2 linked regions of the Pelodiscus sinensis genome follow. The protein of the gene in region 1 interacts with the protein of each later gene in a pairwise test. Links are inferred from orthologs where the notes say so. Each region holds a gene or a part of one and is shown in the gene's direction. Other genes may lie near its edges. The genes, in order: LYAR and PRKRA.

Region 1 (12,406 bases):
TTCAAGGCCTGAACCAGAAAGTTTGATGGTAAGTGGTCAGACGATTCCAAAATACATTCAGATTGACTGACAGTACAAGAATTGTTCTCTACCGTACTTAGTTCAGTAGATGTATTGAATGCAAAGGACTGTTCTGTTATTCTCTCTTGGTTGGAACATGCATTTTGCTTGTAGAACTGCTTGCTATAAAAATTACGCAGTTTATAATAGTAATTTGGCTGTTTAAAAGGGAGCTCTGTGCAATTACCATCTAAGGAGTCTTGTGTCTGTTTCTGTACATCACCTGAGGAAGTATGAAGATTAATAGTTTGTGATCCGTGAGAATGATGGTCATCCAACACTTTACTCGGTTGTGCATCTGATGAGCATTCATGCAGTAAGTTAGTACCATAATTTTCATTTACACAGTTAGTCTCTGTAGCCAAAGTACTTTGCAAGGAGAACACACTATTGCAAGGCATGCTAGCAGGCTGTTCTACCGCTGTAGAAGATTTTAAAAAAGTATGGCAAATGTTCAGCACATTTTGCACTTGTAGACATTGTGCGATATCCAACATAGCTTGTACGTTATCCTGGCTAAGATCAAGGTGTGAGGTGTACATGAAGTCCAAGATTTGGCCTATACCTCCTACATTTTTAATGTCCAAGTGAAAAACATCATTCTTCTGGCCTGGAGAATTCTGAAATAGGGTCCTGATGAAATGAAGCATAACTCTTTATAATATACAAGCATATACCCTACTAGTTTGAACTTTTTAAATAAAATATCTGTCAAACATAATATCTTACGCCAAAGTGAATCAATAACTCAATATGTAATATGGGGCTGCAAGACAGTTGCTCTGGTATTTACTGACAGGACTTTTGAAAATGCTCATAATTAGCCTAATTCTGTAATTCACTACAAGGGTGGAGAAGCATTGCAATGGGTTACCTAGGGAGGATGTGGAATCTTCATCACTAGAAGTAAAGTCCTAGCTTGACAAAGTCCTGGCTGGGATAAGCTAGTTGGGATTGGTCCTGTTTTTAGCAGAGGGTTGGACTTGTTGACCTTCTGAGGGCTCTTCAAACCCTATGGTTCTATGAAATGGGAGTTCTACTGTTGACTTTAACATTAACAGCTATTGAAAATCTCACTGTATACTTATAATTTCCTATTTTATGTGTTCTAAATATCAACTTTAATCTTGTGTTAGTGTATTGTTTGTGCACAAGTAAATTGACAGAGAAGGGGGGGCTTCCCCTTTCCTTCTGGCAAACAGAATGGGGAGTAAGAAAGGAAGCACTATATTTAGCTAATCAAAATTAAAATAAAGATGGGACCCTATAGTTCGGAAAACCAAGGTATTTCCCCCTTCCAGCAAATAAGCACTTCCTTTGGGCTCTGCCAGTGTACCTCACTAGGGTACATCCTACTTAGAGCTCTGCCTCTAACAAGTAGGTTTAAATGGATGGTAAATTTTTCAAGCTGTGGCCATATCCATAGAACAAAATCACTTTATATACATAATTGTTTGCATATAAAATGTGCACTACTGTACTACCTAAGCCTTCTGTAATTGTTTTTATTATTTTTGGGCTGGAATGTTTAAAGGATCCTAACTCCCTTCAGCTCAAACTTGGTGGCCAAAAGTCTTTGGGCATGAGTCCTTTTATTTTTGACAGTGTTTATGACACTTGGACAGGTGGAGAAACATTTGAATATCAACTTTCTTTCCCCTCAGGAAGTCTTGGTAGCACATGCTTTAGTGATGGTGCAAGATACAGGGTAAAAAAATCATACCAGATTATTCACTGACAGGCAAGAAAAATTGTCTTACCCAGCATCCCAAGACAAGTGAATAGTAAATGCTGCTCACTGCAGGAACTGCTGACACACTTATGTTACAGATGCACTGACTAGCACATCAAGATATTTCAATATGTGAATCTGATACAGATACATATTCAGAAAAACTGAAAAAAGAAAACTGTCCTCCTGCTCTGTTTCCTTTTAAACACCAAAGAGCAAAGGACAATGATGTGGTTGTCTGACCCACTAAATCTCTCACCTGGCTCTGCTCACCGTATTGCAATGCAAACCCAAACTGCATTTTGGAAGGAGTGCGTATTACTATGTACTGCATTTTTGTCAACACCCTCCCACCAGAAATTGGGGCCCCACTATGCTAGGGTCCTGTATGTATGCAATGAAAAGAGGCTCTCAAAGAGCTTACTGGCTAAATAAGTACAAGTACAAAATAACTTAAGCATACCATATTTTCTAATTAGACCAAATGTGAGATACAGATTATCTCTGGACAAATGATCCAAGTTCTCCTTACTTTTTTCTTCTAACCTGTGATTAGCATTCCTAGCTAGCAAAAAAGTTCTCTCCTCAGAGATTAAGACATGAGTTATACAGTATCCTGTTTATTTCTGCAATAACAATATTTCCTACTACATACCTGAAATACTGACTGAAAGCAGCTAACACATTTTTATGAGCTTTGAAGCAGACACCTTTTACTACCAACATGCAGTCACAGAGAAGGCCTTGAATGCGCTGTTCATGTAGCTGCTGGAGAAGATGACAACTATGGCTAGCAACAGTGTCCATGCTAGAATACCATTTGATTACCTACAACATATAAAAATACTCTGGGAATTAAGTTTTAAATTACAATAGTGCAATTGCAGAACAAATTTTAAATTACATTAAAATTAATGTATTGCTACTATTTTCCCTATCTTGCAAGGGAAACAGATGTCTAATCATATTCCAGCAATTTAAAGATTAATGAACAAACTATTGATGATTAATGTCTGTAACCATGCACACAGAAAGTTTTATTAAAGTGAATATTTCCTATTACAATGATTTGTGCACAAATATCTGGTAATGGAGATGCTGCAAAAAAATTAAACTTTATAGCTATACATACTCCATATTCACTTCAACATGTATTAGACTTAAGCAAACAGAACACAGAAGATCCAAAGATAAGATCCACAAATTTAACAAGTACCTGGTACAGGAAAAAACTTAGTTTCTTAATTCTCTAAAATCAGAACAGAAAATCCTTCAATGACCAAACTCAGTTACTATCAAATATATTTATATCGTGCTCATTGCTGTAGCACTAAACACATTTCACTTATAGTTGTCATATACATAAAATATAGCAGTATTAGACATTACTATTTTTCACAGAAAAGAAAGTACATTATATTTAAAGTCTCTTTGAGCTGCTCACAAAAGTGATCTGGAATAGAAAATATCTAACATTTGTTCCCAAATGAAGAGCTGTACATAACCTATGCTTTATTTTAATTTTTGCCTACAAGACTAAGAAAGGAGGAAGAATACAATATTTTAGGGGCTTCTCTTCACTACTGGATGTATCAGTGAAATTTTAATTGGGTCACCCATCAAAAGAAATTTGTATATTTGCATCCCACTATTAAATTAGTTTTCCATCATTTTTTCAGGACTACTACAGGGCACCATCCTGGAGTATTTTTGATGCATTGCCTTTGAATGCATCCTAATTATACTCATCTGCTATTCAGAAGTATTATTTCACTACGCCGATTGTTAAAATTCCTATCAGAGTTCACTGAAAACCTCTTAACATTATGATAGTCCCTAAAACCTCTCCCTACTCCACAGGATCTGATAGTTTACTGAAGCAATCTGCAACATTGGTGACTGTGTTTAAGGATGGTGATTGCAAGTGCCTCTCTCCCTTGGGGTGGAAGGGAACCCAAAGATGCTAGAGTCACTGTCTTATCAGGAATAAAATCAGCAGCAATCTAGGTTGTTCTTTTAAATGTTAGAAGAAGTCTTCATGAAATCAGAATAAGAAAGGAAACAGCCTCAGATATAACACAGGGAATCGTTTGCTCCAATATTAGCATGCAAGGAATGTGAGAGTGACACCACCCTTACATTAACCCAAAGGTGAAAGTAAGCCTGTGCGCCCCAGTACAGCTCATGGGTCAGAGACTGGCTGGCTGGGCTCTAGATCAGTGGTCCCCAACCTTTAGAGGCTCCCGGGCGCCCGAGGCCACTCACGCACCAGGCGCCTCGGGGCGGGGCCACTCACGCGCCAGTCGCCTGGGGGGTGGGGCCACTCACGCGCCAGGCGCCCTGGGGGTGGGGCCGCGCGTCCTGGGGCACGCCAGGGGCGGGGATGCCCTTGCACCCGGCGCCGGCATGTGCCCCAGGGCCGGGGCCAGGGCCGCCCGAGTGCCTTGTGCCATAGGCCCGGCGCTGCCACCCGAGCCGCGCGCCTGGGGCCGGCACCGGCGCTGCGCGCCCACATGTGCCCCGGGCTGCCAGAGCGCCGCGCGCCTGGGGCTGGCGCCTCCAGTGCGCCAGGGGCGGGGCCGGCCCAGGTTGTCGCCAGGCGCACACAAATGCCCCGGCGGGCGCCACGGCGCCCGCGGGCACCACGTTGGGGACTACTGCTCTAGATGCTACCAACCCCTGAGGCAGCACGGCCACATCACACCCAGACTACAGCCCTGGTGCTCAAGTGGCTGGATAGAATGGTCCCAACCACCTCAGTGCTCAGGTGACCAGGCATCACAGTGCTTGGGTGGCTGGGCAAGCAAGTCCTTGCCTCTCCAGTACTCCAGTGGCTGGGCAGAGCAGTCTGTCCTGAGCCCCCACCCCCACCCCACAAACCCCTGCCCTGATTCCCACATCCCCACACTCTCCACACCCCTGCCTTGACTCCACAACTCCCTGCCATGATTCTTACACCCCCACATCCTCCCTACCTTCAGCTGATGCCAGCTCCAGCCCTGGGGATGCTGGTGGTGGCTGCCCCTGCTCCTGCTCCTGGGTACTCCAGCCTTGATCCTCCCCATTCCAGACCCCTGCCTTAACTCTTGCACCTTCCACCTTGAGCCCCCACACTTCCCAACCTCTTGCCCTAACTCCTTGCCCAACCCCAAACCAGTAACCCCCTGCTCTGAGCTCCCAACACCCACCTCTCCAATCCCCTGCCGTGAGCCCCCCTACACTCCATTCCACACTTACATTTCTTACAGGTACTGTCTGATCACAACTCCCCCTCACTCTCCTGCCCTGACACTTGCCCCGCCCCCCGAGGGACTCCTGTTGTGATACAACAATACTTGTAAGAAATTTAAGATATTTTCATCCTTGTGTAAAAGTGAGGGAAAGTCTGATGTATTGTTATTGGGAGAGGAGGCTATACAAGGTTTATGCTAATCCCAACCTTATGCCTAGCTACAAGTATATTATTGGGGGAAGGACAGCACTTGCCTAATGTTAGTGAGTGGGGTAAGAGGGAAATATGCAGTAGTTATGCTAACCCCCAGATTAGCCCTATTTACAGCCCTAACATAAATGTGTGGGGGTAGAGAATGCTGGTCTAATATTAAAGGGTCAAGGGGAGGGAACAAATAGAGATTACACTAACCAGTATTTCCTGTAAACTGAGTTCTTAGGCAGCCACCCAGAAGAGATTTAAATGCTACCCACCTGATTAGTAGAGCACCCACAGCAGGTAGCATGTCTTTCTATTGGTAGTGCACATCTGCACATGATAGACATGTGCTATACTAACTCTCAAGTCAGCTCTACACCTTCACATCCCCCCTCGTTGGGGACTGTCATGGGGGACTGGTATAATGTTGGGGATGCAGGATACATTCAAGTGTGATGCTAAGTACAGATATGGGGGCTGTTGTAATATTGGGGAGTGGGGGAAAGGAAGATATGGGGTCATAATAATTCTTGCCACAGACTTTACATAGGCACAGGCATAATGGGGGAAAGAATAGGGGAAGAATTATACTGATTCCCAGTTCATCCTTAGCCACAGTCATGGGGGACTGGTGTAATGAAGGAGAGTAGGAGAAGGGTTACTATATTGATCCCCAGCTCATCCCAAGCCACAGATATTACAGAGGAGCTGGTGCAATGTTGTGAGCGCACGATGGGTTGTTTTGGCCCCAATGTTACCGCCACCAGCTATAAGTACAACGCGGGGGGAGCGGGGGCAGCTGCGCAACGGGTAGGGGCGGACACCAGGTGCTAACTACCAAGTCACTGACCAAGAAGAGTGTGGCCGGGCGGGGCCTGGCCCCGGTACCGGAGCGCGGCTCCCAGGACTTGAGGGCAGGGACCTGCCCCTCTCCCTCGGGACTGGGGAGCCGCTCTAAGGCCTCCTCCCGCCCAACCTTCCTACCGGCTCCAGCCGCCTCTCCTCTCCATCATCGGCTCGATCTACCCCGTTGGGGCCACCACCCTCCCGTTCCGGCCCGGCACTTCCGGTGGCAGCACTTCCGTTTCCGCGCGGAGGGGACTCCCGGTGGCAGGCACGCGGGACGGCGCGACGGGGACACCGAGGCGCACGTGCGGCGGGGCTAGGGTGACCCCATCGGGAGCGCAGGCGCAGTTGGGGCCCAGCGGAGTCGAAACCCCCCCCCCCCCTTCCAAGCTCCGCGGCGACCGAGTGGAGGAGGCACGTGCCGGGGTCAGGCGGGATTGGCCGTTGGAGGCGGTGGCGCAGCGTTTAAAGTGAGTGGAGGGGCCAGCCATGCCTGGGATCGCCTCGAGCCCCGGGGCGCCTTCCGAGGGTGGGGAGCGGCGGCAGGGCTTGTGTCGCGCTGACTGCACGAGCCGGTCGGGGCGGGACGCTAACGGCTGGGCGCGCGCTCTGACCGGTAGGCTGCCCGCGAGCGCTTGCGCTGCAGGGATGGACGCTGGACGGGAGATTCCTGCACGACCCCCAGCGACCCGCCCCGGGCTGGCCGAGGGAAACACCAGGCTGGTGCGCCCAGCAGGGGAAGGGCGTTATAGCTGATCCTGACCGGTTTGGGCTGGAGTCTGTCAAGTGCTGGCGCTTCAGCTGCCCCTCCACCCCCTGTCCTGCTGCTGCTCCTGCTCCTGCCTTGGAGCTGCCCCCCTGGAAGCCTCCTTCTTGCTGTGTAGGGTGTGGGAGGGAGCAGGGGGGCACTGATGGCGGGGTGTCCCGTCTCCCCACTTCTGTACCTTATCTCCACACGGAGAGAAGGGGCTGGCAGGAGCGTGGCAATGCAAATCTCTGACACTGTCACACTGTGTGGGTCTGTGTCAGTCTCACAAACACCAACTGTCCTCTCATCTCCTGACCTAACATATACTGGAGGGTGGGTGTTACTGCTTTTACTGCTTGCAAAGTGTGTTAGTTTTGGGTTTTGACTGGTCTGTGCAGTTCATAATGTTCATTTCTCTCTTATGCTTAAATTTAATTCTTTGAGGAGGGAGTTCTAACATGTCTAACCTGGTGTGGCTGGGCTAATTATCCCTATGGTGTAATTGCTGTTCCTGGAAGTGTTTGGCATGTCCTTGCAGCCCCTGAGAGGCAGAATAGTGGGTCTCCTTATGCTATCCTTGCCTGCAGACACCACTCCTGTAGCTCCCATCAATTAGTAATGAGGAACCATAGTCAGTAGAAGCTGTGGGCTCAGAGCCTATACAGGAAGGCAGCACATGGTGCCATGGAGCCATTGCTGTACATGCCAGCTGCTTTGAGGAGCGGTGCAGCGCTAGAGCAGGAGTAAGCCTGACTTAACTCTGCTGCTCCACCACCTGGAAGCCCAGCCAGAGCCTGCTTCCTGAACCTCTGTCGTAGCCTTGAACCCCCTCCTGCACCCAACCTCCTGCCCCAGACATGAGTCCCCCTGATCCCAAGCTCCTTCCCAGGGCTTGCACACTGAAACCCCTCCTGGACACCAATCCCTCACCCTGGGCTAAGCCCCTCCCACACTCCAAAGTCATTGGCCCAAGATCAGAGCCTGCACCCCTACTCCATCCTGGTGAAAGTGAGTGAGGATGGGGAACGAAGGGGGATGGAGTGAGCAGGGTGAGGCCTCGGAGAAGGGGTGGAGCAGGGGCAGGGCCTAAAAGAAGGGGTGGGAAGGAAGTAGGGCAAGGGTATTCGGGTTTGAGGTAGATCTTGCATTGCACTTAAATTGAAAAATTGATTCTGTGGTTAAAAAGGTTGGAGACCACTGGTGTAGCATACCCTAAGTTGGGGTAGAGAGCTTTATTTTTCCCTGTCAGGGGCCACTGGCTCAGAAAAATCAGGGGGCACTGATAAGGACACAAAAAAACCCACCCCTCATTACTGCCTGGATCTGGCCCCTGAACCTCAGGGCTCTCCCCCAGCATTGGGGAGCCTGCTTTGGTGCTCTAGCCCCCCGCTGCCCCACCATGGGACTGGAGCACACAAAATCTACTAGCCTAGTGCTTCCACCCTGCTCTGGAGTGCAAGGAGAATGTAGGGAGTGTCCATCTCAGTCAGGGGCCTGGTCAGTGAGGTGTTTTTTTTCTTACTTGTGTGCAACACCTCTCCCTCCCCCCAACTGTTTTTTCTGTGGGTCAGCAGCCCCCAACCCAAAAAGGTTCCCCACCCCGATATAGTGTTTAGTGAGGGCCAAATATGGGAGGAGGTTTTTTAAAAGGGGAGAAATGAAGACTGGGAGAATAAACAAAAAGAGAACTAAGAAGAACAAGGTGGAGGGCAATGGATGGTCAAATAGGTAAAGACTTAAATTTTTAGAGAGATGAGTTTGATCTTCATACAAAATCTGACTGGCAGTCTGTGTTAACATCAGGAAGGGATGATGTAGCCTTTTAATCAGTACAAAGTAGGGATATAAATGGTTTACCGATTCCGGTTAACCCGTAGGAGCTGGAGCAACCCCTGTCTGGTGGGGCCTGGCCCATTCCTCGCTGCAGCTTACACACTGGTTTTCTGGGAGTGGGACTGGCAGCAGCCCTACTCCTGAGGAGGCTTCGCTGTGGCCTCTGCAGTATAAAGCTTATTTAAGCTTTATACTGCAGAGCCCGCAGCGTGTGTAACTGCTATGATTTTTAGTGATCACAAAGTTAACATTTTTAAACACATTTTTACATCCCTAGTACAAAAGTTGTATAGACAACTAGGAGTCCTGTGGCTATATAACAGATTAGTGTTTAAGGTTCCCCAGGACTCCTTGTTTTTGCAGATACAGACTAACATGACTGTCCCTTTGAAAGTTGCATAGAATCACTGACTCTCCCCTCTTTAGAACAGAGGAGTTTAAATTAATCCAAGTGTCAAAGAACACTACGGGGCCTGAACCAGGATTTTGACATCAGAGACAAAGGGGAAGAACATATTACAGAAATATTACAAAGAGAGAACAGCAAGATTTGGCAAGCACCTTTATGTGAAGAGAGAAGGAAAAGCAAGAATCAGAGATGATCCAAGTTTGATGCAGTTTTCTATTTTAAAAACAATCAGAATAATTGTTTGAGTTGTATACACAGAGAAAAATGTTTGCAATTAAAAATGAATGTTACTTAGAAGCACAGTTAACTTGAGAATCTTGTTCACATGAAATCTGATAGATTTGATATTGGTAGCTAGAGCTACATACACTTTAAATATAATTCACACGCTTTTTTCAGAGTTATAACTTTAATTGCATTTTTTGTAGGTTTGGATTTGGAAAAGAACCAGTTTTAACCACTTTTGAGAAGAAATTATTTTGATCGCTTCACCAAAATGGTAGTCTTTACCTGCAGTGCATGTGGAGACTCTGTGAAGAAAGGACAGGTTGAAAAACATGTAAACATTTGCAGGAACTGCCAGTGCCTCTCTTGTATGGATTGTGGCAAAGATTTCTGGTATGTCAATGATTGTGTGCTAGGGCTTAACAGATCATAGAATCATAGAATACTAGGACTGGAAGAGACCTCGAGAGGTCATCGAGTCCAGTCCCCTGCCCTCATGGCAAGACCAAATACTGTCTAGACCATCCCTGATAGACATTTATCTAACCTCCTCTTTAATATCTCTACATAAGGAGATTCTACAACCTCCCTGGGCAATTTATTCCAGTGTTTGACTACCCTGACAGTTAGGAACTTTTTCCTAATGTCCAACCTAAACCTCCCTTGCTGCAGTTTAAGCCCATTGCTTCTTGTTCTATCCCCAGAGGCCAAGATGAACAATTTTTTCCCTGCTCCTTAGGATACCCTTTTACATACCTGAAAACTGCTATCATGTCCCCCCTCAATCTTCTCTTTTCTAAACTAAACAAATCCAATTCCTTCAGTCTTCCCTCATAGGTCCTGTTCTCTAGACCTTTAATCGTTCCTGTTGCTCTTCTCTGGACTCTCCAATTTCTCCACATCTTTCTTGAAATGCGGTGCCCAGAACTGGACACAATACTCCAACTGAGTCTAACCAGTGCAGAGTAGAGCGGAAGAATGACTTATCATGTCTTGCTCACAACACACCTGTTAATGCATCCCAGAATCATGTTGCTTTCTTTGCAACAGCATCACACTGTTGACTCATATTCAGCTTGTGGTCCACTATGACCCCTAGATTCCTTTCTGCTTCTGGTCCACTATGACCCTAGACTCCTTCCCAGACAGTCGCTTCCCATTCTGTATGTGTGAAACTGATTGTTCCTTCCTAAGTGGAGCACTTTGCATTTGTCTTTATTAAGCTTCATCCTATTTACCTCAGACAATTTCTCCAATTTGTCCAGGTCATTTTGAATTATGGCCCTATCCTCCAGATTAGTCGCAACCCCTCCCAGCTTGGTATCATCTGCAAACTTAATAAGCGTACTTTCTATACCAATATCTCAATCGTTGATGAAGATATTGAACAGAGCCTGTCCCAAAACAGACCCCTGTGGAACCCCACTTGTTATGCCTTTCCAGCAGGATTGTGAACCATTAATAACTACTCTCTGAGTACGGTTATCCAGCCAGTTATGCACCCACCTTATAGTGGCCCCATCTAAGTTGTATTTACCTAGTTTATTGATAAGAATATTGTGAGACCGTATCAAACGCCTTACTAAAGTCTAAGTATACCACATCCACCACTTCTCCCTTATCCACAAGACTCGTTATCCTATTAAAGAAAGCTATCAGATTAGTTTGACATGATTTGTTCTTTACAAATCCATGCTGGCTGTTCCCTATCACCTTGCCACTTTCCAAGTGTTTACAGATGATTTCCTTAATTATTTGCTCCATTATCTTCCCTGGCACAGAAGTTAAACTAACTGGTCTGTAGTTTCCTGGATTGTTCTTATTTCCCTTTTTATAGATGGGCACTATATTTGCCCTTTTCCAGTCCTCTGGCATCTCTCCTGTCTCCCATGATTTTCCAGAGATGATAGCTAGAGGCTCAGATACCTCCTGTACCAAGCTCCTTGAGTATTCTAGGATGCATTTCATCAGGCCCTGGTGACTTGCAGGCATCTAACTTTTCTAGGTGATTTTTAACTTGTTTTTTTTTTTTATTTTACCTTCTAAAACTACTCCCTTCCCACTAGCATTCACTGTGTTGGGCATTCCTACAGACTTCTCGGTGAAGACCAAAACAAATAAGTCATTGAGCATCTCTGAATGTGTGAATGTTGCTGGTACCCGCAACACCAGCTCTTGCTCCCCCTCTTGCTGCCTCTGATGGACTCATATGGAGTCAGCAAGTGGGGGAGGAGGAGGGAGAGAAGTGACTAGTCGAGGGGCTAGTTGACTATCCAATAAGCTTTTTCTTATCAAATAGTCAATTAGCTGCTTACATCCCTGTTTCATAGAATTAGATGCTAAATTTGTGAAGTTGCCTCGTTTGAGATACTGAATGTGATCTGTTAACGGTTTTGTTAATTGAAGTGGAACACTGTTTACAGAATTTAAGTGTGGCTTATTAATATTTAAGGGGTGATGATTATAAGAGCCATGTGAAATGTTTAAGCGAAGATCAGAAATATGGTGGCAAGGGTTATGAAGCCAAATCTAACAAAGGAGATGTTAAACAACAGGAGTGGATTCAGGTAATGCTTTAAATATATATATTTAATATTCTTTTTTATAACTTTATTTCAGAAAAATCTTGCATACTAAAAACAAGCATTCATATTGGAAACAAATGTATAGGTGTTTTATTTTAAATAACAATGCATGTTCTGAAAAATAGTCTGAAATGAAGAGAAGAGCAGACAAGCCTGACATTCTAACAATGCATCTCACCAGCTGAGCATCAGAACTTCAGTTTCTGTCTTTGCTCCTGGGATGAATATTGTAAATGTTAGCATGCTCTTCCCCTGCAGGTCATTTGTCTGTTCGTTGTGACCTGCTTGCTTGTTAGGAAGCTGAACTTGCTTCTTTCTCTAGTGGGGTGGGTATCATAAATTGAAGGAAAGGAGAGAAAAGTGACAACTAAAAACTGGTAAGAGGATTCTTGAGATTTCTAAGAGGGTTTTAGAGATCATTTTCTCTCACCCTTGAGAATAATGTAAATACAGAATTGTAAGTATTTATTTAAATATATAAATAATCCTGTAGATTAGTCTGTGTATATACACGCAAATTAAAAAACAAGTATTGTAA
Region 2 (11,645 bases), on another chromosome or scaffold:
CCCCGGCCATAAGACTGACAGAAGACAGCCTGAATGCATGCATTAAGCTGGATTTGACCAGTTATGATGTAAACTTCAAAGAAATGTGCGAAAAGATGCAGGAGCAGAAGTCCCATTAAATAAAATCTGTGAGTACCATGTTTCATTTATGCTATTATTAATCATTATATCAATTATCAATAATATCAACTTGTATATTTTCAGTCATGCAAATGAACATTCTTATATGGCTCTTTGTTGACCACTTGCTCTGAATTTTGATGTAATTTGGTTCTTAGGTTTGAAAAGGATGCAGGCCCCTGACCTAGTGGATCGCATTCTTAAATGCCTATCTCGTAATATTCATTGTATAGGAGCATCTAACTCAGGCTATGGTGGATCCCCATGATTTTCTAGACACCTATAAGTTTTGTGACATTCAGCATTACAATGTTTTTGTGGATCTGGACCAATAGTTTAAATTTTGAACCTCCTACATATGACAGAGTCTCCTTCAATGTTTATTGGAATTATACATAGCTAGAGGCAGTTATGCTGCTGAAATACATGACACAATTTATAAAAATAAAGTATCACTGTGGCCCAATTCTTCAGTCAGATCTGAATGGGCAGACACTTGACACTTGGCACAAGGGGTCAGTCACATGAATCAACTGCAGGCTTGAAGCCACTATTTCCATTCAACAGTGACATTTCATGGAGATGCACCTTGAGAACATATATATTAGTAGAAGACTTACCTGGCATTGCCCGGGTCCTTCAAGAGCGGGGGGCTGGTGGTGTGGGGAGTGCAGGAGTCAGGACAAGGCCTTGGGATGTGGGGGGAGCAGGGCAGGAGGAATGGGTGTTGAAATTGAAAGTTTTATTCTTTTTATATTTGTATTTTAGGATTAATAACGTAGCAATGTAAGGTAACATATTATCATATATATATAAAGTTTAGTAAGTAAAGAGACAGGATCTCATATTGTGTCTATGTCAGTGAGGGTTAGAGGAGGGTTGAAGGCCGGAGCCTTCAGTGTGAATTGTTTTAATTACAAAATTTAGTAAGGCAATTTACAATGCTGTCTGCTTTTGTTCAATATAAAACTTTGCTGTTTGTATCTCTGTGAAAGACTGTTTGTATGAATGAGATATGGTGTGAAGGTCATCGTTAAAGCCAGATGGGCAAGAGAGAAGGGGGAGAATGCGGGGTGAAGACTAACTGTAAAAGACAGACTGTGAAGAGACATATCGGTGTCAGAGAAACCATCATTGCATACCCATGGCCAAGAATTGATCAGATTGGCAGACTGACGACTCTAAAGGTGAAGGCATCCCTAAAAACAATTGATTAACAATCCAGGACAGGGTGAGCCTCTTGGAGATGTTTTGGGAGTGATTAACATCAACAAGATAACAGTAACTGGTCACAGACTGACATAGCGAAGTCCATAGACTTCAACAGAGAAAAAGGATTATAAAAGCAGGGTGCTTTGCTATAGAACTTTGGGTTCATCTTGCCACCAACTCCAGAAGAACATTGGATCATGACTGACAAAAGACCCTGCTCTCTCTCTGTGATCAATCTGACTGGCCACTAGATTGGTCCAGACTCTGGACTGGTAACTATAACATCATCTGGCAGGACTGTGTGGCTGTGTCTACACTGCACCCCTTTTCCGGAGGATCTTTTATTCCTACTTTCAAGCTGAGGGGAAGTAGGAATAAAAGTACTTGAAAGTAGGAATAAAAGATCCTCCGGAAAAGGGTTTATTTTCCGGAGAATCACGTCTAGACTGGCGCTTTTCTCCGGCTTATCCCCAAGCCGGAAAAAAGCGGCAGCCATGTTAATGCAAATACCGTGGGGGATATTTAAATCCCCCGCGGATTTTGCTATTCCAAAGTGTCTAATCTGCATCCCTTTTCTGGAAAAGGAGTGCAGTGTAGACACAGCCTGAGTGTATGGTGTTTGTGTGTGAGAGTGACTGAAAAGCATATGCAACTGTTGTATTCTCAATAAATGTGGCGTACTGCCTTTTCCCCTATAAAAGATCTCGCGTGCTTTGTTTAAGCATAACATAGGGGGTGCATGAGTTAGGTGGTAGGTTGAGGAAGGGGGCTGGAGATGTGAGGGTATGTGAAAGTTGTGGAGTGCACAGGGGGTCGAGGTGGGAGGTCTCATCTGCTAGGGCCTTTTCTCTCCCTCCAGACACCCCAACCAACAGGGGTCATCTCTTCTCCCCCAGCCAGAAAGAGCCTTCACTTTCTCCATAGCCCCTCCAGCCAGCAGGGGCCATCTCTCTCCCCAGGATCCGTCCTGGCAGGGGACTGCTCTCTCCCCCCAGCCCTCCCAACCAGCAGAGACCTTCTCTCCCCCCAGCTGACCCAGCTGGCAGGGGCTTTCTCTCTTCCCCTCAGCCAGCATTTCATAAGCATATTTGCGCAATTTTTAAATAGAAGTTTGACTATGTTTAAATTTATTTTCCATTTCTCATTAATTGCTTGAGTCATTAAGATAATTATATTTTAACTATACTAATGCACCACCATACTACATATTATAATTAAATATATAACATGAGGTCTATACTTATTGCAAAAACTTAATTATTCAGGCTTAAAAAAACCAAAAAACGTACCTGCTGAAATTTCTTTCTCTCCCTGAAGAATGTCTTTTAAAGTGAAAGGTGTTGAAGCAAATTTAGATTTTCTTGAAAGAAAACACTTTTTCTTCTTTATAACAAGACTCAGAGGTTGGTATTTGTCAGCTTCACTGAGGCTAGGAACGGGGACTAATCTCCCACCATCACCAACCTGCTTAACAAAGTTTTTGGTAGCAGCAGCAAACATATTATGATATTAATCATAAAAACTCCTGTACCAACTGCATCTTCAAAACTTCATACCCATGTTAAAATATTTTACAATATTTTTGTAACTGAACTATCACATAACAAAAATTAAAGTCTAGCTGCTTTGTTTAAAACCTAGTACATTTTGTTTGGAGAAGAGAATCAGTAGGTCATCACCACCCAGCTTCTACAGTATATTGCTTTTACAGCTTCCCTTATGTCAACTAATCCTGCACAATGAATAATACATTAACTGTGTAAACTGATACAAAGATGTTTGCTTGATCTTTAGTAGTATAAGGCCATTATCTGAAAGTAAGATGATTGCTTTAGAATCAAAAGACTGCTACATTTTGCAATCTTTTTTGTTGTGATTGCAAAGACAGTGATATATTTGCTGTTTAATGTGCCTTTTATCCAGCTGGATCCCAAAGTGCATTACCAATGGGAATTCACCTGAACAGGCCACCTAAGCTACATAATTGTGTAAAGACTTAACACTTTTTTAAGGGAAGGAGACTTCTTTCAGTAGTGGCTGCATAATAGCTCTGTTAAAGACCTCAGCCTGGAATAAATACATTTCAGATTGTGAGCGCCTTTCTAAACTTTTTTAGCTGATGAGTAAATAGGACTTTGTCCAAATTTACTGTATGCTAGTGTCTCCATAGGGTGAGGGAAGTAGGGATTTTGCTGTGTTTTGTGGTTTCACTTCTGAAAGGGTTTACTTTGCTGATGTTTACTCTTTTCTGGCAGGTTGGTGTATTAGGGTCATGAGGGCTTGAAATTTATGTTTTCTGCATCAGAAAGGACATTATTGGGTTTTATTGCCTACATGATCAGGTGTGAATTTTGTTCTGTGAGTTTGATGGGAAAGGGGGAGAGGAACATAGCAGTATGTTACTTCATGGATGGTGGTGTGTGTCTGTGGAGAGGAGAAGGAAGGTTGATTGATCTTGTCAGCATTTGGTAGGAGTGACATATCAAGGTACAATCCCGACTAATGATTGGCTATGTCATCCCTTTCCTATAACCTGGGATGCCCTTTACAATGTAGACTCCAAACTGGACTGGTCACCACCAGTATGTAAATCACTCCCAGCTATGTCTGAATGAGTGCTGCAGATAGACAGTCAAGCTTTGGCTCTTACTGATTTAGTTTTGCTGTGGAGCATGATGGGCAACCTAGTTCTATGTGTGGTCCACAATACATTTTGTTTACCACTGCCTAAGTGTGGAGTTACCAGATTCCACTAGTTTCCGTTCATGTAAGCTTTTTCCTAACAATATTAAAGTGACATGTATGTAAAGCAAAAGCACATGAAGTGAGGTGTGTGCTGAATGCATACACATTGACTGTGACAGCCATATGTTCCCTCTGCATCCAAAGTGCTATTATGGTTCAAACTGCACACCCACAAATTCTAGGTACAGAAGAGCAGTTAGCAAAACTACCCTACTCCAGGAAACCATCATGGTTACAACAATCTTGCAACCCATTCACTTGTCTAGGTCACCAAGCACTGCTGCAGGGTGACAGCACATACAGTCTCAGTCCTAGATTTTCCTCCAGAAATGTATGTACTGTACTGCACAGCCCTCTCTTGAGCAGTACAAATATACTGAGTCATTATTCCTTTAAGGCAGGGGTCTCCAAACTTTTCAGCCCGAGGGCCGCATTAACTATCAAACAGCAGTTCGGGGGCCGACTACACACTTGAGGTCCAAATAAAAAACAATCAAAACATGGATGTTGTTTTTAATTATTTATTTAATATTATTTTATTCAGTTATTATTTAATAACACATTGATACACTACACATGAACACCTGTATTAGTGTGAATGGTGAAATTGTTTCCTGGATGCCAAAATAGCACACATTTCTGGCTTTAGATTTGTTGTCCCTAACATCAACAGTGACCTGAGATTATCATCGGACAAGTTTGTTCTCAAATTGTTCTTCACATATTTCAGACGTGGGGAACTCAGCTGTTGCTTCAGCCATGAAGACCTTGCACTGCTGAAAGTGCGTCAAGTTGTTGGCCTGTACTTGTTCCAAAAACAAATTAGCAGCATGCCAGGCACATGCTATGGGGCACTGCATTAATGCACTGGGGAAAACTCACCCTTCAGGCCAGCGAGAAGAAATCCAGAGAGTGAGAAAAATACTTAAAAGGAGCAAGGGACAAATGAAGCATTAAAAATTAACATTTTTCCTCACCTAGAAGCTGATTTTAGGCACTAGATCTGGTGTTTTAGGAGAGATCTGAAAGAATTTAATATCGATTTAAATCAGGGGTCACCTTTTTAAAGTTCCCGCGGGGGTTCACGTTCCCCCGCACGTCGCCGGGCGGGCGTTACCACCACCGCCCATCCTGCCCCCTGATTGGCCGGCTGCCCTGTCAGTCTGGGCGGGGGAATGCTGCCCGTGCTAACCCCCGCCCCTGCGCCGTTTGCCGCCGCGCGGCCGCTTGTCATTGGAGCGGCCCGCTTCTCCTGCCCCGGCGCGGCGTGAGTACACGCCGCACACCCCTGACAGGGCCCCCCCCCACCGCGGCAAGAAGGGCCCGTTCGGCGGCGCCCCAGGGACGGTCTCCACGGGCCGGATGAGAGGGCCTCGCGGGCCGCATCCGGCCCGCGGGCCGTAGTTTGGAGACCCCTGCTTTAAGGGACTAATATGCACACAACTGAGTTACCTGGACACTTCAGCTTGAACACACTGGATTTGATACAAAACCTTTATTGACTAAAAAGAGAGAGCTTTCAAGTGAATACAAGTAATGAGCCATAGAAATAAAAAAAAATGGTTACAAGAAAAATAAAGGTAAAGTGCTAACATAACTACATTTGATTCAAAGGAAAAGTTTTCTTACCACATGCTTTCAGTCTTAGATCAGGTCACAGACCCTGGCCTATTGTATACAATAGCTGATGCTTTTGTTTCCTTAGGTGCACAGTGGCTACACTCCCAGGCCCGAGCTCTCTCCTCATGTCCTCTTCCCGGACTCCTGCACTCCAGGGCTGGCCCACAACATTTTGGCACATGAAGCGGGTAGCTCAAAAGACACCCCCATGTAGGGTTGCCAGGTGTCCGCTATTCTACCAATCTGGTTTTTGTGTCCTCTGTCTGGTAAAAAAAATTCAGAAAATACTAGACATGTGCAATGCCCGATATTTTGTTTTTCTGGCCGGGTGCTGGACGGAAGCCTGGCAGGGGCAGAGGAGTGGCTGGGAGGCAGAGCTGCGATTGGGGCTGGAAGCCTGTGGTAGCGTGCAAAAACCTGGTGGGGACGGGGGTAGCTGAGACTCCCACACACTCCCGCGGCCTAGCTTCTACACTCAACCAGAGGGAGTCCCAGGCTGGGAAGCGGGGCTCTGATTGGTGCTGGGAGCCTTTGTTTGCGTGCAGAAACCAGGCGGGGGGTGGGGAGAGTGGCTGGGAGGCGGGGGTGCAATTGGCCCTGGGAGCCCTCAGCTGAATGCCTCTGAGGAGGAGTGATGTCTTGAGGAGAAGCTCTGTCCCTGCTCCTGAGCGCTGTTCAAGCACGTTGTAGCGCTGTAGTCCAGGAGAGAAGCCCACAGGTGCTTTGTAGTTGAGTTTAGGTGCCTTTCGTGGGTGCTCAGCCAAAACTGACTGGGGTGGAATTTCTGCTTCTTTCCACTGGGACACCCAATTTTTAGCTGGTGCTGTTCGGTATTTTTTAGGAGACCATCTGGTAACCCTACCCCCAGGTCCCCTCCCTTGGGCCAGCAGCAGACACAATTTTCTACACTCTGGGTCCTAGTGGTGCCCCCCCCCCCGGCACCTGCCGCAGCCACCACAGTTCGCCTCATGGTAAGGCCAGCCCTGCTACAGCCCCTCCACACTCCTGCCCTGAGCCCCTGCCCCTCACACCTCTCAAGCCCTGGCGCTGACTCCCTGCACCCCGGTATCCCCCTCCCCGCACTCCAGCCCACACTTCAGTGTCTTACAGGTACTGTCTTATTACAACCCTCCCGCGCCTGCCCGGACCGCTCCCCCCAGGGCGGGCTGCAATGGCTGCAAGAAATGGGGGCTCCCTTGGCGGGGGCGGCTTGTGCATCACTCCCCGGCCAGCCTGGGCCCACAGGCTGCGTAATGCGGGGAGCTGGCCCCTCACGGAGCGCTCAGCGCAATGGGCGGGGGGGCCGCAGCGGCAGGCGGGGGAGGCCCCCCCCCGCACCACGCGCCGACGCGGCCCCGCCCACAGCACAGGCCGCGGCGAGGCGCTCGGCGGGCGCGGTGGCGGTAGCGGAGGTGGAGGCGGCCGGCCCGGCCATGTCTCAGGAGACCTTCCCGTTCCCGGCCGCGACCCAGCAGAGCCCGGCGGCGGCGCAGGACCAGGCCCGCAGGTCAGGGCGCAGTGGGGCATTGTGGGTAATTAGGGGCCCTTCTCCCGGTGCGCGGGCGGCCGCGGCCACCAACTGCTGGTGGGGGGGGAGAGGCTGGAGCGAGCCCCCGCCCTGTTACCACTGGGGCTGGCCCGGGCCGTCACCTCGCAGCGGGCGGGGAAAGCGCTGCTCCCCTCCGCCCGGGAGAGCGGCTCACCGGCTGCGCCCCGCCCTCCGGCCTGGTCTCCCAGAGTCTCGGCGGCCGGCGCGGGGCCTCGGCCTGGGTCTTAGCCCCGACTCCCGGGGGCTGCCAGTGTAGCTGCCGCCGGTGCGCCTCTGGCCCTGCCCCTCAGCAACCCGGAGCCCCTTTGCGGATCCCTCCCCGCTCTCTGCGGAGCTGACGCCTGTAGCCGTTGTGAACAGGGCTCAGCGTCCCTGCCCAGGGGGAACGTGAGAGCTGAGACAGGGCCCGGGGCTTCCACGCACCTTGTTCAGGGCAAAGCAGCAGGGGCAGACTGATCGGTGCAGTGACAGTCAATCACCCCCCTGGCAAGTAAGAGCCTGATCCTCCAAAGCACTTGGTGCCCCGCAGCCCAGCTTCGCAAACGGAGCCATAGGACAATTTGACAAAAGCGCAGGAGCTTGTGTCATGATACTTCCAACAGCAACATAGTTAGTTGCTTAGTTTAATTAATACAGGGAGGGGAAAAGGAAATCTAGTACATGTTCCAAGCCAGACAAAGATAATGTTTGTATGCCATGATCCTACAAACTCACCTTTGACTTTAAGCATGTGAGTAGCCCCACCTAAAACACCAGTTCCTGAAATAGCTAACACGGCTATATTTCTATCACTGAAATAGCTAGGTGTGTGTTGGAGAGAAGCTATCCAGACACTGTTTACTTTTGTACCTGCTGAGTTTGAGAGAGATTGAATTTGCACACATTATAGAACTGTTGCCTTCAGATATTTCTCACCAATGATTGTTTCTTTGCTGTGGAGAAGTAGTGAATACTTTCTGTATCTGTATCACTTGTCCATGTTGTAACTGAAGCCATTCCCAGTTGTCATGGTGATCAGAAGAAAGCAACAATAGCTTGGAATGTTATTTGGAAAATGTATTCTTTCCCCCATTCCTATCAACCTGTGGAAAAGTTGCCTCTAAAGCAGCATGCAGCTTCCACCAGACTTGAAAAACATATTCTTTGTCCCCATTCCCCTTAATTGCCAGTACAGGCTTTCAGTATCAGATAATTTTTCTTTTATCAGTTAGTGAGATCAGTTTGATTTTTTTTCATAACTTAAGTGGAGGATGACAAGTTGTCTTGAAACACAGATGATAAGACTTCTCTTCATGAGGAGGTGATTCAACATCAGTGCAATTCAGTAGCAGCCAAAACTAACTCAGGGCGCGTCTACACAGCACCTTTAGCTGGAAATAAGTTATGCAATTTCTGCTACGCAAATTGCAGAGCTTATTTCGAGTGTATTTCTAAATTAATTGTGTTGTTACTGCCTGAGCTACCTGTTTTTCCTCTAATTATGGAAGTTCTCAAATGGAGAGTCATGCAACCTCATGGAGTTGCAAGTATGTTATGTGGGGGGTTGCAAATACATATCTCCCAGCTAGCTAACATGTCTGCTGTGAAAAGTGATATTAACATGCAACTATTACTTTAAAATAGTGTAAAATATAAAAAAGTCTTAATTTTTAAGTGTGTGTGTTTTGGGGGGAGGGGAAGAGTCACACTGAGGCTTGCTATGTGAAAGGATTGCCAATAAATACATAAAATTTGACAACCATTGCAATCTTTTCCCATTCTCTGCTGCAGCTATAATACTCTTCCTTTCTTACTGTTTTAAGGGCAACATACCCACCTCTAGAGCCTCTTATTGGGCATTTTGAAACAAGGTTAAGCTCAGACTTCTGCCTAGCCATTGAAAGTTTATTTTTACAGTAGCTAGAGCTGGTAAAAAAAGATGCAAAAGTGGCAAGGAGTCCTGTGGCACCTTGTAGACTAACTGAAGTATTGGAGCATAAGCTTTTGTGGGCAAAGACCCACTTCGTCAGATGCATGTAGTGGAAATTTCCAGAGGTTACATGCATCTGACGAAGTGGGTCTTTGCCCACGAAAGCTTATGCTCCAACACTTCAGTTAGTCTATAAGGTGCCACAGGACTCCTCGCCACTTTTGCAGGTTCAGACTAACACGGCTACCCCTCTGATTAAAAAAAAGATGGAAATTTGAGAGATAATATTGGCCTAGTGAGAAGGGTGCTGCATTGTGTTCTAAGCATGCTATACCATGGGCTCTTGGATAAGTACTATGCATCCCTATATCTTTGTCTCCCCACCACAACGTAATGATGCCTTCCCCTTTTTTGTAAAATGCTTGTAGATCTGTGGATGAAAAGTACCATAGGAGCCAATATTAAAATTTCTTGAAAGTGTTGGTAACAGTAGTGAAACAGGGAACAGCGATTCCCATTTTTTAAAAATCAGCTCTAAATACAGATTTCCCTTCTAAAATGATAAATCTTTTCTTTGTAGCTTGGAGGAAATGATTGTTGCAAAACCAGGGAAAACACCAATTGAGTTGTTACATGAATATGGCACGAAGTGTGGTATCACTCCTGAGTACGAGTTTGAAAAGGCTGAAGGACAAGTACATCTTCCAAGTTTCACCTTTAAAGTTACAGTAGGTGACATAACGGGCACAGGTCTGTAATGTTGCTATACTTTGGTATGGTTGTTGGTAGTGGTTTCAGGAAAAAAATCTTTCTTCCGCTGTGTTTTTCATTAGAAAATACAAAAATAATCATTTATTTAATGGGTTAATATGTTTGACAAATACTGGAAGGCAAGCTTTTAAACTTTGAGTTTCACATGTGACTAAATATTAAACAGTGCAGTTTTAGGCTGTTAATTCTGATTTAATATTTTCAGAAAATTCAGTAAGAAAGGTAAAGAACTATAAACTGAGGCTACGTACGACTGTTCACATACTGAAGGGAAAAGCTCCAAGAGCTGCCTGCTAATTTGAGGATTCTGAAAAACCTAACCACTAGAAACTAAGTATTTGTAGGTATAGTTTAATCCAAACAGACCAATATTTTGTCTTCATGATAGGGACGTATGAGTATGCAAAAACATTATGATTGTGAAGTCAAGTACAGAGAAGTCAAGGAAATACTATAATTAAAGTTGCTTGTGCATCTTTGATTTGCTCCCTTTCTATGCAATCTTGGGATGTCATAGCCTAGGTGTATTTGTTTTTTAAAAACTTAAGGGATTATAGTTCTTTGATACAGAATATCTTCACAGTTCATTAGCAGGATTCAGAGCACAGTACTTGAGGTAATGCAGCAACTAATAATATGCTGTTATTCTCTGTGGACTATCATTAAAATGAGATGGGAAACAGTGTACCAGTGGGTTTCAAACCTATTTGCTAACAGAGGGATAAGGAGATTCATGAATTTGGGGTTCAAATTCCAGATTCTGGAGGAGTCTTCTATTTAGTTACAGGCAGTCCCCAGGTTACATGGATCCGACTTACATCAGATCCCTACTTACAAACGGGGTGAGACAACCCCGCACTAGCTGCTTCCCCCCAGGAGACCAGGGAGACGCAAAGCTAGTACCCCTCCCAGCAGACCAGGGAGACGTGGAGCGGCTTTTCTCAGCAGACACCTCAGCTTGAGAATAAAGGACTGAGGGAAGTGAGGTGTGGGAGAATAAAACTGAGCTCTGGAGAAATGTTTGGCTAGAGTTTCCCCTACAATATGTACCAGTTCCGACTTACATACAAATTCAACTTAAGAACAAACCTACAGTCCCTATCTTGTACGTAACCCGGGGACTGCCTGTATTTAGAATTCTGTCCCTATATCCCCACATCTCCTACAAAATACACCCTAGATTCCCTTAGCAAAGGCACTATAAAAAGCCACCCAAGCCTGCCTTCTGAGGACACAATCTCAAACCTCAACACAGGGATAGATGAAGCATGTCAGGAATAGGGCAACATCACAGAGTGCTTGCTTTAAAGATTTCAGACAGGGATGCCATTAGGGGTAAAATCCCATTTAGTTAGTTAACTAGATAAACATGAAGGTTAACCGATTAAACGGGCAGGCGGAGGCGTTCCTGCCCGTGGCACACCTAGTGCAGCCCACCACGGGGCTGCTCTGACTGAGCTGGAGTGCACCAGGCCTGCCACGTGCCCCTCCAGGCTAGAATGGGCAGGAGAATACTCCAGCCCCCACCATTTAACAGTAACCAGTAAGCATCATCCATTAAAGGTGATGCTTACCTGTTAACCATTCACATCCATAGATGATGTAACAATTTAATAAGAATATCATGTTATAAGGATATCAGATTGTCTATTTTAATACAGGTGAAGGTCATAGCAAGAAGATTGCAAAACACAGAGCCGCAGAAGCTGCCTTGAACAT

The links.
Region 2: the proteins of LYAR (region 1) and PRKRA interact in binary tests that used the Homo sapiens proteins (3 or more experiments, as listed by UniProt). The two-hybrid records come from large-scale screens. The link is inferred for Pelodiscus sinensis from reciprocal best matches to the Homo sapiens genes LYAR and PRKRA.

Annotation. Positions count from the first base shown.
Region 1 is NC_134715.1:110,471,869-110,484,274, reverse strand, and holds the start of LYAR (cell growth-regulating nucleolar protein), read left to right. Parts: upstream 1-6,396; 5' UTR 6,397-6,538; intron 6,539-6,544; exon of another isoform or gene 6,545-6,684; intron 6,685-6,696; exon of another isoform or gene 6,697-6,791; intron 6,792-9,486; 5' UTR 9,487-9,554; coding exon 9,555-9,676; intron 9,677-11,735; coding exon 11,736-11,850; intron 11,851-12,406. Other genes in the region: ZBTB49 (zinc finger and BTB domain-containing protein 49), read right to left, coding at 1-693, 2,448-2,620, 4,768-4,857. UniProt on the Homo sapiens protein: Plays a role in the maintenance of the appropriate processing of 47S/45S pre-rRNA to 32S/30S pre-rRNAs and their subsequent processing to produce 18S and 28S rRNAs. Also acts at the level of transcription regulation.
Region 2 is NC_134717.1:46,430,587-46,442,231, reverse strand, and holds the start of PRKRA (interferon-inducible double-stranded RNA-dependent protein kinase activator A), read left to right. Parts: upstream 1-6,889; 5' UTR 6,890-6,950; coding exon 6,951-7,204; exon of another isoform or gene 7,205-7,229; intron 7,230-7,288; exon of another isoform or gene 7,289-7,736; intron 7,737-8,161; coding exon of another isoform or gene 8,162-8,242; exon of another isoform or gene 8,243-8,608; intron 8,609-9,735; coding exon 9,736-9,905; intron 9,906-11,587; coding exon 11,588-11,645. Other genes in the region: PJVK (pejvakin), read right to left, coding at 2,622-2,796, 8,162-8,242. UniProt on the Homo sapiens protein: Activates EIF2AK2/PKR in the absence of double-stranded RNA (dsRNA), leading to phosphorylation of EIF2S1/EFI2-alpha and inhibition of translation and induction of apoptosis.